Linked DNA regions of Oreochromis niloticus. The protein of the gene in region 1 purifies or fractionates together with the protein of each later gene. This does not show direct contact. Links are inferred from orthologs where the notes say so. Each region holds a gene or a part of one and is shown on either strand. Other genes may lie near its edges. The genes, in order: cpsf1 and fip1l1b.

Evidence for each region.
Region 2: the proteins of cpsf1 (region 1) and fip1l1b fractionate together in Homo sapiens (co-fractionation; 8 studies listed by BioGRID and IntAct, with this or other methods). This does not show direct contact. The link is inferred for Oreochromis niloticus from reciprocal best matches to the Homo sapiens genes CPSF1 and FIP1L1.

What each region holds. Positions count from the first base shown.
Region 1 is NC_031985.2:31,557,049-31,565,065, reverse strand, and holds the start of cpsf1 (cleavage and polyadenylation specificity factor subunit 1), read left to right. Parts: upstream 1-4,825; 5' UTR 4,826-4,991; intron 4,992-5,437; 5' UTR 5,438-5,459; coding exon 5,460-5,603; intron 5,604-5,705; coding exon 5,706-5,733; intron 5,734-5,829; coding exon 5,830-5,963; intron 5,964-6,061; coding exon 6,062-6,142; intron 6,143-6,227; coding exon 6,228-6,379; intron 6,380-8,017. Other genes in the region: parp10 (poly [ADP-ribose] polymerase 10), read left to right, coding at 1-67. UniProt on the Homo sapiens protein: Component of the cleavage and polyadenylation specificity factor (CPSF) complex that plays a key role in pre-mRNA 3'-end formation, recognizing the AAUAAA signal sequence and interacting with poly(A) polymerase and other factors to bring about cleavage and poly(A) addition.
Region 2 is NC_031971.2:23,839,674-23,847,098, forward strand, and holds the start of fip1l1b (pre-mRNA 3'-end-processing factor FIP1), read left to right. Parts: upstream 1-4,421; 5' UTR 4,422-4,630; coding exon 4,631-4,709; intron 4,710-5,077; coding exon 5,078-5,132; intron 5,133-7,045; coding exon 7,046-7,112; intron 7,113-7,220; coding exon 7,221-7,333; intron 7,334-7,425.

The DNA.
Region 1 (8,017 bases):
CTTTAGGAAGAAGCTGAAGAAGGTTGACGTCTTGCTAGACAATCAGCCGCACACAATCAACTTTTGAGAAGATGCAAGAACACAACATCGCTTCGGGGGAAATCAGCGCAGATCAGCAGGAAGTTGCTCGAATTAGATGATTTAAGTGACAGTGTACCAGGTAAAGTGAGATTTATTAAGCCTTCTGTGGAATGATGCTTCATGTGGGGCCGTGAAAGAGACAAAATCCAGAAAATGATTAGCACACAAGTCAAAAATGTCATCAGCTATCTTATGCTATATCACACAACAGGCTATATGATTTTTCATATAACTTAATTAAAGGTGTTGCCGTAGCACAAATATTGTGTGAGGTCAGGTTCAGTGACGCCAATTAGCTGAGGTTAAGCCTAGCAAACAGCTATTGACCACAGGGACCTGTGTCAGCACACCAATAATTGAAGCTTTAACAGTATCCAAATGGACAGTTGTTATAAAAGGAGGGATTAGCTATAGAGCTTTTTAACACAGGAGTGTTAGAGATTTCTCTGCTTTTGAAGCCAGACTCATTTTTGGCCATTAGAGGAATGTTGGCTTCGGTTTTTAGCCCCTGAAGTTGTCTGTGAGGAATATTAGGTGTATTTGTAGTTAGCTCCTCTGTGTGTTTTCAGATTAGCACACAGTCAGAGGTATTATCATTGTGTACCTGCATGCACCATTCTTGAAGCCTGAAATAAACTATTAAAGCATAAAACAAAGTAAAGTGTGTAATAAAGAAAGACATTTTCATGTCAACAGCTGAGTGGGGAGACTTAGGGAAATGTATATAATTCTAACTACTTATTACGTCCACCAAGGTAAACAACATAGCTCGAAAACTTAAGAATGAATTCTGATAAAACTTTGTGGGGGTGTAGAGTGGGATCATGTTAGCAATCTGTTAAAATTAGGCTTATATCCACCAAGGTCTTTAAGGTCAACTTCATGATTTATTAGTCAGAAATAGACTAAAAGCCTTAAAACTTATAAGTTATTATTCTTATAAATGTGGTGTGTATTTTCAACATTGTCACTAGATAAATCCGAAGGTCAAAATGATAATAATGCTGTATAGAGCTATTTAAAACTATGGTTCTTATTGCTGCTGTTTATATTGACAGCATATGGACACGTAGGGAATGATATATGTGGGTACCTAAATATCACGTTACTTTGGACCTCTGACCTTATCTTCAAAGTCAAGAAAGCTCAAACATTTAAACAACAATCTCCTTACCTTTAAAGCTCTGCTTAAAATTGTACTGTTTTTATTTGTGGTACAATTTAAAAAGAACAAAGAAAACAATAAATATATACAAAATAAACTGTAAAATGCCGCCAAAGAGAGCGAGCTGCCTTGGTGGAGGTTTGCACTTCTTGTTAGTTTTTCCACTTGCATCAGTTTTGCAGCTCCCTGTTTATTTTATTAAATAATATGAGTCATTTAAAAAACTGAAATAATGCTTACTAAATAATTTGTTTAACAGAAGATGACTACTCCGTGCTATCAAACTTCCCCGAAGCAACCAAAGTGGATGAGGAATCTGATGAATTCCAGAACGTGGTGAAGCAATTCTACGAGACCATTCAGGAATATCACAGCAAAATCCGAATCATACAGGTGAAACGATGAGCTCTGTCTTTTTTGCAGCAGCTGACTGTGGCTTTAGTGATGACTACAATCATTTTTGTTTTGTTCGCAGGTTGAGAAGCTCATGAACAAGCTGTTGTACAATCAGTACAAGCTGAAGAAGGCCAGCGTACTGCAGCGTGCCACCTACCCGCAGATCGAGCGCATCCTGTACCACGGCACGAGCGAGAGCAGCGTCAAGGAGATATGCGTCCATGGCTTCAACAGAAGCTTCTGTGGAAAGAATGGTACGCTTTTCATGCTGGCTTTCTTTGTCTTGTTTACATCGGGTTTTGTCACATCTTCTGATGCTCTGTTTTTTTCCACGCAGCCACCGTCTACGGTCAGGGGGTCTATTTTGCTGTGAACTCGGCTCTATCTGTCCAGGATCAGTATTCCCCCCCAAACGCGGATGGATACAAGTTTATTTTTGTGTCCAAAGTTCTAACGGGAGACTACACCAAAGGTTGCCATTCGATGAAGACGGCCCCGCTGAAGGAGACGGGAGATATCCCCCTCAGATACGACAGCGTGACTGATAACATTACCAAGCCGTCGATGTTTGTCATTTTCAACGACACACAAGCTTTTCCAGAATATCTCATCACATGCCAGAGAATCCACCGCTGAGGAGAATGGATTAGACGCCGGCGATGACATTTGGAGAGAGCAGACTGCTGATGCTTTAATGTTTCTGCCTTCAGTTTAAAAAAGCGATTTTGGTTTATAAAGGGCTAAGGTGTAATGATTTGATCAGCCGTGATCAAACCGATGAAGTGCTTCTCTGTTGATCGTTTCCCCTCTTTGATTTCCTCACTACGTTGTAATGTCATTAAAAAGAATCAAGCGACTGAACCCAAGAAGCCAGTTTTCATTCAGTAACTTTAAACATGCCCTTTCAGCACATTTACAGCTCATTGTGCCGCGGCTTTACATAGACAGCACTTATTGCATGACATTTGACTTGTAATAGTCAATTTGGTACTCACTGGCATCACTCCCACACTCCAGTTAATATTAGCCTGTCTTTTCCTCTGTTAATGTCATTGTATTCCTATAAGTGGAAGACAACTTTTTGATTAGTAGCCTGCTGACAGTACTACATGCACTCCTGTCTGCCTGCTTCCATCAGTAAGAGGTTATTGTGAATGAGCCAGATCTGATAGTACAAGAATATGACCCCTATTTAGTTTTACGTTTCGGTTAAGTTATTTGAGTTTCTCCCTAAAGTTTTTTTTTTCTTTCTTTTGGCTATGCAAGAATAAAACTTAAGTGTGGTTAAAATAAGAACAAAAAAAGTAGAGGTGTGTAGTCCACTGCTCTTCACGTACAGGTGGGCGTGAGTTGAAAACACTTGAACACAAATTAAAGATAATTCTGTCTTGTTTTGAGTCTCGTGATCTCTGTTCTGTCTTAAAAATTTAAAGCCTTATATCCATCACAGCTGTTGCACACGTCACAGACTGTGTATTGTTGTTTTTCTGAACCAAAATGATCTGCGAGCTCCAGTATGTGTTGCACAACGTGATAGTTCTTGATTGTCTTCTCACTAGTTCTGCTGATCCTTGTTTAATGAAGTGAGCACAGACAGCCTGATTTTAATTACAGTGCCTTCATTTTTCCAAGTGCTCTCATCACAAGTCCATCCATTCATCCATTCTCTTCTGCTTATCCTTCTTATCTGATCACAAGTCTTGGATTTTAATTAAGTCCTGGAAAGTTTGGGCCTTGGGTTTTTGCTGTGTTTAATTTAGATTGTCTTACAGTTACTACAAAAGTCTTTTGTTTTTAGCATCATGTTTGTTGTTTTTAATGAAGAATATTTCGTTTTAAGAGAGCTCCACTTCATTTATACGAAAAATAAAACTTTAAATGAGAAACCGTTTGATGGTCGTTTTACCCTATTTGTAGATCTTAGACCACTGTTGACCTATAACAAACACATCTGTAGTATCTGCACACATGTTGTCCAGTATGTGCTGATCTTATAACTTTACATGAAACATGAATGAAAAAGATGCTAAATGTATTTTGGAGATGGGTGTCGTAGCACACCTGTAACAGCAGTTCTGTAACAGCACAGCTGAGGATAAAGTTGGGTGGAGTCTGGCGATATTTATAAAAAAAAAAAAAAAGTTGCTTAAATGAGTGTTTACAGTATAATTCAAATCATTGAATTTAGGTCTTCCATGGCCACAGGTGTATAAAATCAAGCACCTAGACATGCACACTGCTTTGATTTGTGAAGGAATGGGTCCATTTCAGGAGCTCAGTGAATACCAGCATGGTACCGTCATAGGATGCCACCTGTGCAACCAGTCCAGTCTTGATATTTTCTCACTACTAAATATTCCACGGTTAGCTGTTAGTGGTATTAAAGCAAAGTGGAAGCGATTGGAAATGACAGTAGTTCAGCCTAAACTCAGCAACTTATAAACCCCGTGAAAAGCCTTCCCAGAAGACTTGAAGCTCTTATAGCTGCAAATTGTGGGCAGACCGATCATATTAAACTCTATGGATTAAGGGATACCACTCAAGTTCATGTGTTTGTAAAGGTAGACAAGCGAATACTTTTGGTAATATTTATTTTTATTTATTTATATATTTCCCTTTGTTTCCTTATATATTTTCTCATTAAGGTTTCAGCACACAATATCAACAAATCCTCATTATGTGATGTACCTCTAACACATGTGGGATCTACACATTCATCCACAAAACCTATTTTAACAAATGACTCACTTGGCGCACTCTGCTGGGATAAACCTGGCTTAATAAGTAAGAAATGTTTTCGAAGCTGTCTTTCACTGACAAGTGTGCACAAATGCTGTACACAAAATTGAGTAAGATAAATATGGAAAATTAAATGCCATTAAAATCTCATTAAAAAAAAATCAAATACAGAACACATTACAATCAGTAAAAGAATCAACAAAAAGCCTGATTAAACAAAAAAGATTTTAGCTATTTTTAAAGAGTCCACAGAGTCAGCTAAATAAATGTAATTGTAGTGGGACATTGTTACAAAGCCTTGGCGCCACAGACTGATAAGCTCTGCCCCCCTTTCACTTCATTTTTTTAAATATCTGTACACACACAAAATAACTCTGAGACAGCAGCTGCTATCAAAATGCTAAATATAGGTGGCGCTAATGTGCCTTGGAGTGGTTGGCTAAAAAAAAAAAAAAACACGAAGAAGAAGACCAACGCAGCCACAACAACGACAGCTAACCTTGCTATCGGTTAGCTAGCTTAAGTTGGTATCACACAAAATATGTCACGCTCACTGTGAACAAGGGAGGAAACAATAAAGCTGCAAACTCAGATAACGTGACGGACATAGGTACGTCCACGCGTTACATTCACTGCTTGTGAAAACATTTGAAAAATTGTAGCCTGTTACTATGCCATGCCAGCTACAAATGGGAACGTTAGCGTGCTGCTAAGGCAGCTAACTTAACCGGCTTTTCCCATACATTTGCTATTCGAAGCTAACTAAAATGAAGCTGAGACTAACAACACGAGTGGATATCGCTGGTTAAGTTAAACCAGTTATCAGAATAAATTCTAATAATTGATACACACAGACAAAATGTAGCGCTGGCATAAGCTAGCTAGCATTTGATCGTTTTGAAGCCTATTTAAGTGTACACTGACGTAATTTATAAAACGGCGCTCGGATTGTCTGTGCAGTTTTTGTTTAACGCAGATACACGCATACCTGTGTACCGATTGTTTTAGTGGTGAGGTGATGTCAGAGGTCTTGACGTGAGTGTTTTCACCTGTTAGATGCTGAGGGCAGCCTGCCACCATGTATGCCGTGTACAGACAAGCCCACACACCGACCTCAGTGGAGTTTTCTGTCTACTGCAACTTTATATCCAGTAAGGAGAAGAACCTGGTCGTAGCTGGAACATCTCAACTGTTTGTTTACAGGATCATTCATGATGTGGAGGTAACTTTAAATCTAAGGTTCACCTGTTTTTTTGTGCCTTTTTTTTTTAAAACACAAGCATAAAAGGGCTTTTTGATATATGCCACATTTGTCCTATTTCAGAGTACTTCAAAGGCTGACAAGTCATCTGGTATGTCAAAGAAAGCATCTCATTCAAATACACATTCTACTGTTGGTAAAAAATGTTTTTGGTTTTTTTTGCTGAGTCTCGACTTTTCTTGCGCAGATTCCAAATCTCGTAAAGAGAAGCTGGAGCAGGTGGCTTCCTTTTCTCTCTTTGGGAACATCATGTCTATGGCTAGTGTACAACTTGTTGGAGCCAGCAGAGATGCACTCCTTTTGAGTTTCAAAGATGCAAAGGTATTATAGAGCAAGCAGTGTGCTGCTTAAATAAACCATGCTTTTAACCCCTAGAATTGTTTCTCAGTGACCCTTGCCTGTGTTTTGTCTCTCACCAGCTGTCTGTGGTAGAGTATGATCCTGGGACACATGACCTCAAGACACTGTCTCTTCATTACTTTGAGGAGCCAGAGCTCAGAGTATGTAGCAACAAAAATAAACCTGAGTTTATGTTCATGTGTAAAAGTGACTCAACTGTGAATATAACTGTTCTTGTATTTTCAGGATGGCTTTGTACAGAATGTACATATTCCCGTTGTGCGTGTAGATCCAGAGAATCGCTGTGCTGTAATGCTCGTTTATGGCACCAAACTCGTGGTGCTGCCATTCCGAAAGGACACGCTAACGGATGAACAAGAGAGCGGTGTTGGAGAAGGGTAAGTTATACATCTAATTATTAAAGTTGATTTGTTACGCTCAGTTCCAGCTCAGTTGTTTTGATTTTTTTTACTCTACTAGAGTAGCTTTGCATGATTCAGTTAAAAAAAGGGCACCTTCCTTTTAAGCTAACTTTCCTTATCAGCCTTTTAACTTTTCATTCACAGGTATAGCTTGTACTTAAGTTCATTATTCTAGACTGACTGCTAAATACAATGCATCTAGTACTATAACAGTATTCTTGTGCCTCTCAAAAAGCTTTTTTTCATAATAATATTTAAATAAAAAAGTCACCATTTATGTATTCTATGTTCATTACAGTGAAGTGAATTATTTAAAGCCTTTTTTGTTTTATGGCGTATAACTCCAATAAATCGAGTATCTGAAATCATTAGATTATTTGCTAAGATCAATCAAAAGACAGAAATGAAACTTCTGAGAAGCATGTCCATTTGTACACTCAGTGCATGGCCTTTATCACAAATTCCTGCATAAGTGCGGGGCAGCATAGAGGTGATCAAAGCCCAGGCTGCTTTCACATTGACCTTCAGCTTGCCTCCATTTTTAGTATTTCTCAACTGATAAAATCCATAAATTCTCCATGAAATTCAGTTTGGCTGAGCTTGCCAATTAAGGGCAGTAACTTTGTCTGCAAACTACTCAGCCAAAGGTTTGGCACTGTGGGTGGGTCCTACTGGAAAAGGATCAGCATCTCCATAAAGCTTGTCAGCAGGTGGAAAGTTGAAGTGCATTAAAATCTGCGGGTAGACAGTTACGTTGACACTGGACTTGATAAAACACAGCGGACCAACAGCCAAGAACACTGGCAGGTCACATGGCACCCCAAATTGTCACAACTGTGGAAATGTCACACTGGGCTTGACACACCTTGGATTCTGTGCCTCTGCACTCTTCCTCCTGACTCTAGAAGTTTGATTTCCAAATGAAAGGGAAATTTTACTTTCACCTGAGAAGAGGACAGTTGGACCAATGAGCAACAGTGCAGTTACTTACAACGTAACATGACTACAACTAACCACACATCAGGTGGACACAGCCCACAGTTACTGTGATTAGCTGTTCACGGCTGTCCATCCCTTCTTTGCAGTTTCAGCTACTTTCTCACAACTGTTAGCAAACATTGTACAAGAGTCAATAATCATAAATGAGTAAGATAAAACAAACTGTTAAAAATAACCATAAAAATCACAACATCAATATAAGGAGTCACAATCAGCAGATTCCTGGAGAGAAATTGTACAAAGAAGTGGAAAAACTTTAAGGACAAATATTTTTGCCTCTGGAAAAAAACTAAACTAACCACAACAGAGAGCGAAGACTTTGTATTTATTTCTATCATGACTGCACTGTAAATAAAACACCTGGACACGACCACATGATAATTAACAGTTAATGCACCAGCACGCAACCAGAAATAAGGGCAGAGACATCAGCCTCTTATGTTACGTAGTCAGCTCCTCAAACAGTGCAGAAGTCTAGCCCAGGTTAGCTGTTTCTAACGTCTTGGGTTCAGGAAGGCACTTGTGGCCCATTTCCTGAAGATGTCTGTGCGCAGCAGCTCTTGATGCTCTGACGCCAGCCTCAGGCCACTCCTCTCCCAAGTTCCTGAATCAGCT
Region 2 (7,425 bases), on another chromosome or scaffold:
AAATGTCGAACTTTTGCTTGAAACAACAGCAGAGAAAACACAAGTTTTATATTCTGAATTTTCACATTAAAACAGTTTAAAACAAACTCAGATCTTTTATTTTGTAAGGCCTTAGCTTGAATGAAATGTCCGTAATTAAAGAACAGATGGATCTTTGTATTGCAAAACAAAGAAGGAGAAAATGCCACGTTAAGCTGTCATTGCATCATACCGTTGATATAACCATTTGTTTGATCCAAAGAGATGATGTGGATTGAAAATGTGCCAGGGTGCATATCAGGGGAAGCTAATATCAGCGTGTGTAATTACTGATAGCCCAACGATCGCCCTCTGCTTGGATAAACCCGATTAGGATCGACTAGGCTGTAAGCCTCTCTAATCCACCGTAAGGAGAGAGGGATGGATGCAGGGAGGGAGGAAACTCAGAGAGAGACAGGGTGGCACATAGGGTGAAGGGGAGAAAGGGAAATAAGGATAAACAAGGTGCAAGAGGATGAAAAGCAGACAGGAACAAGACAGAGAGAGAGAGGAGAGAGAAGGCAGAGGAATCGTCAGGGAAAAACAGGCGAAGAGAAGCTGCACAGTGTGTCAAAGCAGATCACTGCCCGCAGGAAAAACACAGGCAACAACACAGCAAACTGAACTCCCTCCAAACCGCTTTTATCTCCTTCCACTGTGGTTTTGACCTTTGCCACTGCATCCAAGAGTTCAACCACATTTTATTTTAAATCACGTTCCTGCTCTGTTTGACAAATGTGGTTTTTTTTCCTTTCATTCTCATTATATTCTGCAGATCTCTGTGCATGGTTGTTGTATGCACAGACTGTGGATAAAAGATGAAATGCAAAGTGCCTGAGTGCTGACTCCTCCTCCTCTGGCTGCATAATAAAGTCCAGTTTGTAAGTTTATCGGGTCACAGGGGCAGCTACTTAAGCAGAAAAACACGGAGATCCATGCCCAGTTACCAAAATAAGTTTGTAAGTCTGTAAGAAAAAAAGGCCCAGGTCTTTGATGGCACCTGTAAATGCTGAAGCAGGGTTTACCTTGAGAGTGGCAAGGTGAGAATTAAGTTGGTGGTAAGTGATTAACACTGTCTATCAGCAAGATTACACAAAAACTACTAAGCAAAATTCAATGAACGGATGGACAGGTGGGAATGACAGAGGAACTCTTAGATCTGTGTCGTTTCTCTCAAGAAACAGGACTCTGGCACTGAACCTCGGGGAGGATGTGCTTTTCTACTTTAAATGCTGCTTTGTTGTCTTTTTGTCTCAAAAGATGCTTTGCAAGACTTTATCCAATTACGATCATCTCAGTTAAGTAAATTTGACTTTAAATAGCTCTTGAGTACATGGAAAGGAAAAGAGAAAAGGGAGAAAAGAGCATGAAAAGCAGGTGGGGGTATAAAGAAAACAAAGGGAGGGAATGTGATCAGAAAACACAGAGGAGTAACAGACTGGAAGAGAGACGCGTGAGAGGGAGAGAGAGTGAATGAAATAAATGCAATTTCCATGATCAGTTTAAGTTTGAGACCATTAGTCCCTGTACGTGTGTGTGTGTGTGTTTGTGTGGTGTGTGTGTGAATACACCGTAAACTTGGGGGAGCCGCACAAAAGCTCACACATATGATGTGATACAGTAGATTCCCGTGATATGAACCCCTGTGTGGTTCTCACATACGGTATGGGGGGGAAAAAAATCAATATAATCACAACTATAGTGTTACCATCCCATTTTTCACTCTCCCTGTGAGAGAGAGCACGCACTACATAAAAATTAATTTCATTTCAGCCTCAGATAAACCAGTGAGCGTCAGAACTCAGGCCACGCCTCTGTGTAATTTCCACTGTAAAAACTGAGGGAGAGTGAGAGAATCCACAGATTTCCTTGTCCTTTACTGACAAAGCTAAAGTGGCTCCACTTAACTGGTCAGAGGCCATAAATGCATTAAGAGTTTTCTTTGCATTAGCAGGCAACTTCTTGTGCAAACAACCACAACAGCAATCATGAGAAGTCATTTCGCTGCTGATGAGTCTGCAGCTGCTTCTTGAGGTTATAAACTTATAAAAGCTCTTTGAGAGAGGCAAAGTTTAAGTCTTTATTCCTTTTCTAAGGCAGGAGCTGATGCGGAGGTATGTCTCTAGTGGCATTCGTTTGTTTGTCGGCAAGATTACACGAAAACCATCGAGCTGAACTTCATGAAACCTGGTGGAGAAGTGGATAGCGACCAGAGAAATACCTCAATAAATTTTGTTGTGAATCTGGATTACTTTTCTTAAAATTACAATATAGTACATTGGCTTTGGTGAAGAGCTCTTTTGTTTTCACAACCTCTGGCTTACACATAACATTGTTTAACATCATTTATTTATTGCTTATAATTTGCATTAGTAACAACTTACTTGCTATAACCCAAAAAAATAAAGAATACAGATAAAATAGTCAAAAACTAGGAAATAACAACCTTAAAATTGTGCTTTATTGAAGTAGCCTGCATAAGGAAATGTACTTAGTTGCTTCTACTGCTTTTCCAGAGATGGCTTAGCTGTAAAACTTGCATTGTCCTTGGAAAACCTGCAATTCTGCCCTCACAACTTCTTTGTGTTTTGGTTTTTTATGATTACCTTGTCCAGTGAAGTTTCATTTCTATCAAAGCCAACTAGAGGCAGGGAAATGCTTACTGTCCAGAATAGACAGATTATGAGAACCATCAAAACATTTCGAAGGACTAAATAGTTCAGCTGAAAACACATTAGACTATCTTAAGTGTGGCATCCCATGATATACTAAAAACAAAAGTAGATTTATTTATGTCAATTTACCAGGCGGAAATGCAAACAAATAGAAGGCTGAAGCGTCTACATGGCCTTTTACATGAGGTACAGTGTGTGCCCCAGGCCACTGGCTGTACTGCCTTCAGACTCAGACACAACTTTCTTAAACAGATCAGGCACTTTGATCATTTACAGCATAAGTGCAGGGGGAGCTAATTTAATGAACGATGAAAGCACCATGGTAAGACGTGACACTGAGCCTTCGTGCAGGACAAGGAGCTTGAAACTCACTCAGCTAAATGGAGTACACAGTGTTTTTTTTTAATCATCTGGACATGTGCTTATCCTGCCCTGCTATGCTTCGCATGTGCTGAGGCCCTGAGGGGCATCATTTTTCCCAATGCATGTGGAGATAGGAATATGAGAAAATTTCCTACCAGGGTTTGGCTGTCAGTCTGTTCTTTACATCACTTCCATTTTCCCACGCTGCAAAACTCAGTGCTGACATAATTGCTCTAGTCCAGTCATCTTTCTGCCAATCAGCTTCCACTCTACGTACTTTACATCGCACTGGCCATCTTTCATTCTTCCTTGCAGATTCCTTCATGCAACCCACCTCCTCCCCAACTCCACCTCATGCAAACCACTCATCCAAGCCTCCATCTTATCTTCACCACCACGAGAGTCTAGACTCCAGAGCGAAAAACTTGACATACGGATATGGATAATGGATATGTGCAGGGTATCCATTAAAACCATTTGAGGAAACTGGAATAGAACAGTAAAAAAATAATAAGTGGAAGGCCTAAAAAACTCTCTACAGCAGATAAACAGTATCTGAATGCCATGTCCTTAAGAAATAGAAGAAAATCCCACAAAGACCTGACCCAGGAGCTGAGGGTTGCATCTGGCCTCTTCAGAAATGTTCTCAGTGGAAGGGCGGATAGCAAGAAGCCTTTCTTAGTGAAGGAAGGGAAGAGAAACAGGGACAAAAGGCCAAGGTATGCCAGATTACATGAGGGCTGGTCTGAAAATGAGTGCCAACAGATCTTGGAGTGATGAATCCAGATTTGAAAATTTTGATTCGAATTGTCACTATGTACAGAGGAGGTCAGGAGAGAGGTACAACAGTGAGTCTCTAGGGCCAACCATAAAACATGATGGAGGCTCTGTCTGTCTGACTGGCATCGGCTTCATTTCTCATAATAACGATGATCCCAAGTACAGTGCCAATGCACTAACAGTATACCTGGATTCAAAAACACAGAAGGATCACCATCAGTCATGGATTGGCCTCCCCAGAACCCAAACCTCAACATCATTAAAGCAGTGTGGGATCATCTTCACAGATAACAGAACAAAAAGGCAGCAGAAGAGCTTTAAATGCCCTTCAGGTTGTACTGAGTAATAAAGTTTGTAGCAAAGTTTCACTTTCTCCTAGAAGAAAAGCAGAGCTGGAAAAGAGAGTGAAGAAGCACTTTCGGGCATGTATTTGGGTGGTTACTTTGAAAAAACAATCTAACTAATTGTCACAGCACAAAATAACGTTTTATTTAATTCTTTCACTGTCGTGTTAAAAAAAAAACGCGACATAAAAAAGGAGCCGTTAGTTTGCCCGCTGGGGGCGCTGTGTTTTCTCCCATCACCCTTGACATTAGCGGGATGCCACCAATCTCTTCCGGGTTCACTCCGACTCGCAAAGGTTGGAAATGAACCTATGAAGACATAATTTATGTACATAACCACGTTTCCACGATAAAGGGAGAAGTTTTACTGTTATTTTTGCACCTGTGAGCTTTATTGAAGCTTGTAGTTGTTGAAGCCGCTGCTGGTTTAGCTCTCCGTGTAAGTTTAACATGTCTGCGGAGGAAGCGGACAAAACAGCCACCACTGATGCCAGCGCCGGAGACGAGGAGGAGGAATGGCTGTATGGAGGTAAAAACAACCACCTGACGTCCACAGAAACGGTTCCTTCGAACAGACAGAGACGTGGAACACGATGTCTCTCGCTATGTTCCTAATTAACTGCTAACAACAGATATCACTGTGCGCTATCCCGTTAATCACGAGCGTTAGCCTGGAAGCTAAGCTAGCAGCGGGATTTTGGTCGGCCTGTTGTGGCTGCACCGCTCGAGTCAAATCATTTGAGTATTACTCTGGCTTGTTATAACGTTTAACTGGACTATGAAGTGGCGTATGTATTTTCTGCAGCTCACCTTGTTAGTTAAAAAAAACAACAACTTCAGTTAAATATATATTAGATAACGATAAATGAACTCAGTTGCTTTTAATTTCTGTTCCAGATGAGTCAGAGAGCAAAGACGAGGATGAAGAAGCCAAGCTGAACGCTGCTGTCAGGTAACTATAATTCAGTCCTAGCCTGGATTTAAAAAAACAAAAAACCCTCTGTGTGTACCACATTTCAGGGTCAACGAGCGTTGGCAGAGTAACTAGCAAAGGTAATATAGTTCAGTACAGCTATCAGAAAATCTTCTCACGAACTCTAGAAGTATTTCAATTTCTAATAATTTTTAGATTTATTGAGGTGGATTTCAGCTGATGCTGTATCCCTGGGAACGGATAAAAGGCACTATTAATACACACGCAGAGGTCACTTTATTAGCTGCACCTTGCAAGTAACTGGGTTGGGCCGCCTTTTGCTGTCAGAACTGCTTTAATCCTTTGTGGCATAGATTCAGCAAAGTGATGGATGCATTCATCTGAGATTTTGGTCCATGTTGACGTCATGACATCACACAGTTGCTACTGATGAATCGCTGTACATCCATGAGAATCTGATGAGATATAGGTAGGCTGTATCCTACCTGAGAACCTACCAATATTCAGGTAGGATATGGTGTTTAAATAATGCTCAGTTGGTGTTATGGGAGCCAAACTGAAAATATCTCCCACTCCATTACATCACTAACAACGCTAAGCGGCAGCTACAAGGCAGGATTTGTCAATGCTGTCATGATATTCGTGCGTACCATCTGAATGTTGCAGCAGAAATCAATTCTTTGGTTGGTTATTTGGTTATATGATCTACTGCTGCCGTCCTCAGCTTGAATCAACCCGACCATTTACCTTTGACCTTTGGCACTGAGAGAACTGGATAGTTTTTCTTTCCTTATTTTCCCAAGCCCATTCTCTGTAAACCCTAGAAATGGTTGTATGGGAAAATCCCAGTGGATTTCTGAAATCAGCCATGTCATGCTGATCCATCCAAACTAAAATCACATGCGAGATGCATTTACTGCTATGTGATTGACTGATTAGATTGCTTTACATCTAGTATGTTAGAATATTATTGAAAAGAGAAAATTATGAGGATGTTGTTTGTCAGTCGTTAACTGTACACCTCATCTCTTCATTTATACTCATCCACATGTGCTGCAGATGCTGATGACACTATTGCTGCTGTCATAGATTCATTGATCCTACGGGGGAAACTCTGTTACAGCAGCAGCACAAAGAATAAAATTAGTGTAATATAATCTAATCTTGTTTAGTAAAGGTACCTCTGGCTCATAGTGAATGCTTTATAATGACACCGTTATTAAATTATCCCCAGCCTTAGACAGATTCATCTAACATATCTGTGACAGACCAAAAATAATTTTGGCTTACTAATATATCATCACCTGGGCTCCACCTAACATACAGACATCTTACAGTTACATTATGTGCTTAAATTTGAATAACAAAAGTGGTTAAACATATTTAAAAAAAAAACCAAAACAAAAAAAGTCAGCAGGTCACATGAGTACGTGTAAATATCTAGTTTAATTAAAAGTTACTAAAGGAGACTTAAAAACAAACTAATAGTCTTTTGAAACATAATTTTCTCCTAGTGTTTTACATACAGATAGATTAAAGGAAAAATGTAACACCTTGACCTCTACAGTGAGGTCATGCTGTGGCAGCTTTATGTTTTAAGTGACATTTTGGTGGCATGTTTTGTTTTTTTAATACTTGTTCTCTTTAAGATAAGGGTCACTGCAAGTAAATATAGTGTTTCTAAAAGATCCCCTTTATCCTTTGATTAAATTTTCCTTCCTTATTAGAATGGCCTCTGTTAGGATGTCAGTGCTCTGATGACTGAATAGTTTAAAGAGTATGAAAATGATGTAAATCAGATGTTGTGGCCTTCACAGTCACCAGATCTCCACCAAGGTGAAAAAACTTTGTGAGATTTTGGACCCAGAAACTTTGGACTGAGAAGAAATTTTATATTTGGTCTGTTGTGTCTAATGTTTTCATATCTGTAGTGCCCCTGCTGATGCTTCAACAGATGATGCTGCTGCGCACGCTACAGGAAATGGAGTTGCCTCTGAGGTGTGTAGCTTACATGCACAGTTTCAATAATTTTTGTTTGTTTTTATTACGAACCTAGATTCAACTCACTGAATGTTTCTTGTGTTGTTTTTGTTTCTGGATTTTCAGGCCACAGGTGAGGCTGCAGGCGAGGATGTGGAGAGCGACAGCGACAGTGACGATGACGACGATGATGTCCGTGTCACGATTGGAGACATAAAAACCGGAGCGCCACAGTACACGTACGTTTGAGGCAAATTGTGGTGCTGTACATATTTTTATAGTTTGTGGCTGGTTTAAATAAAAGCTGCTGGGTGAGGTTTCTGATTCGGAG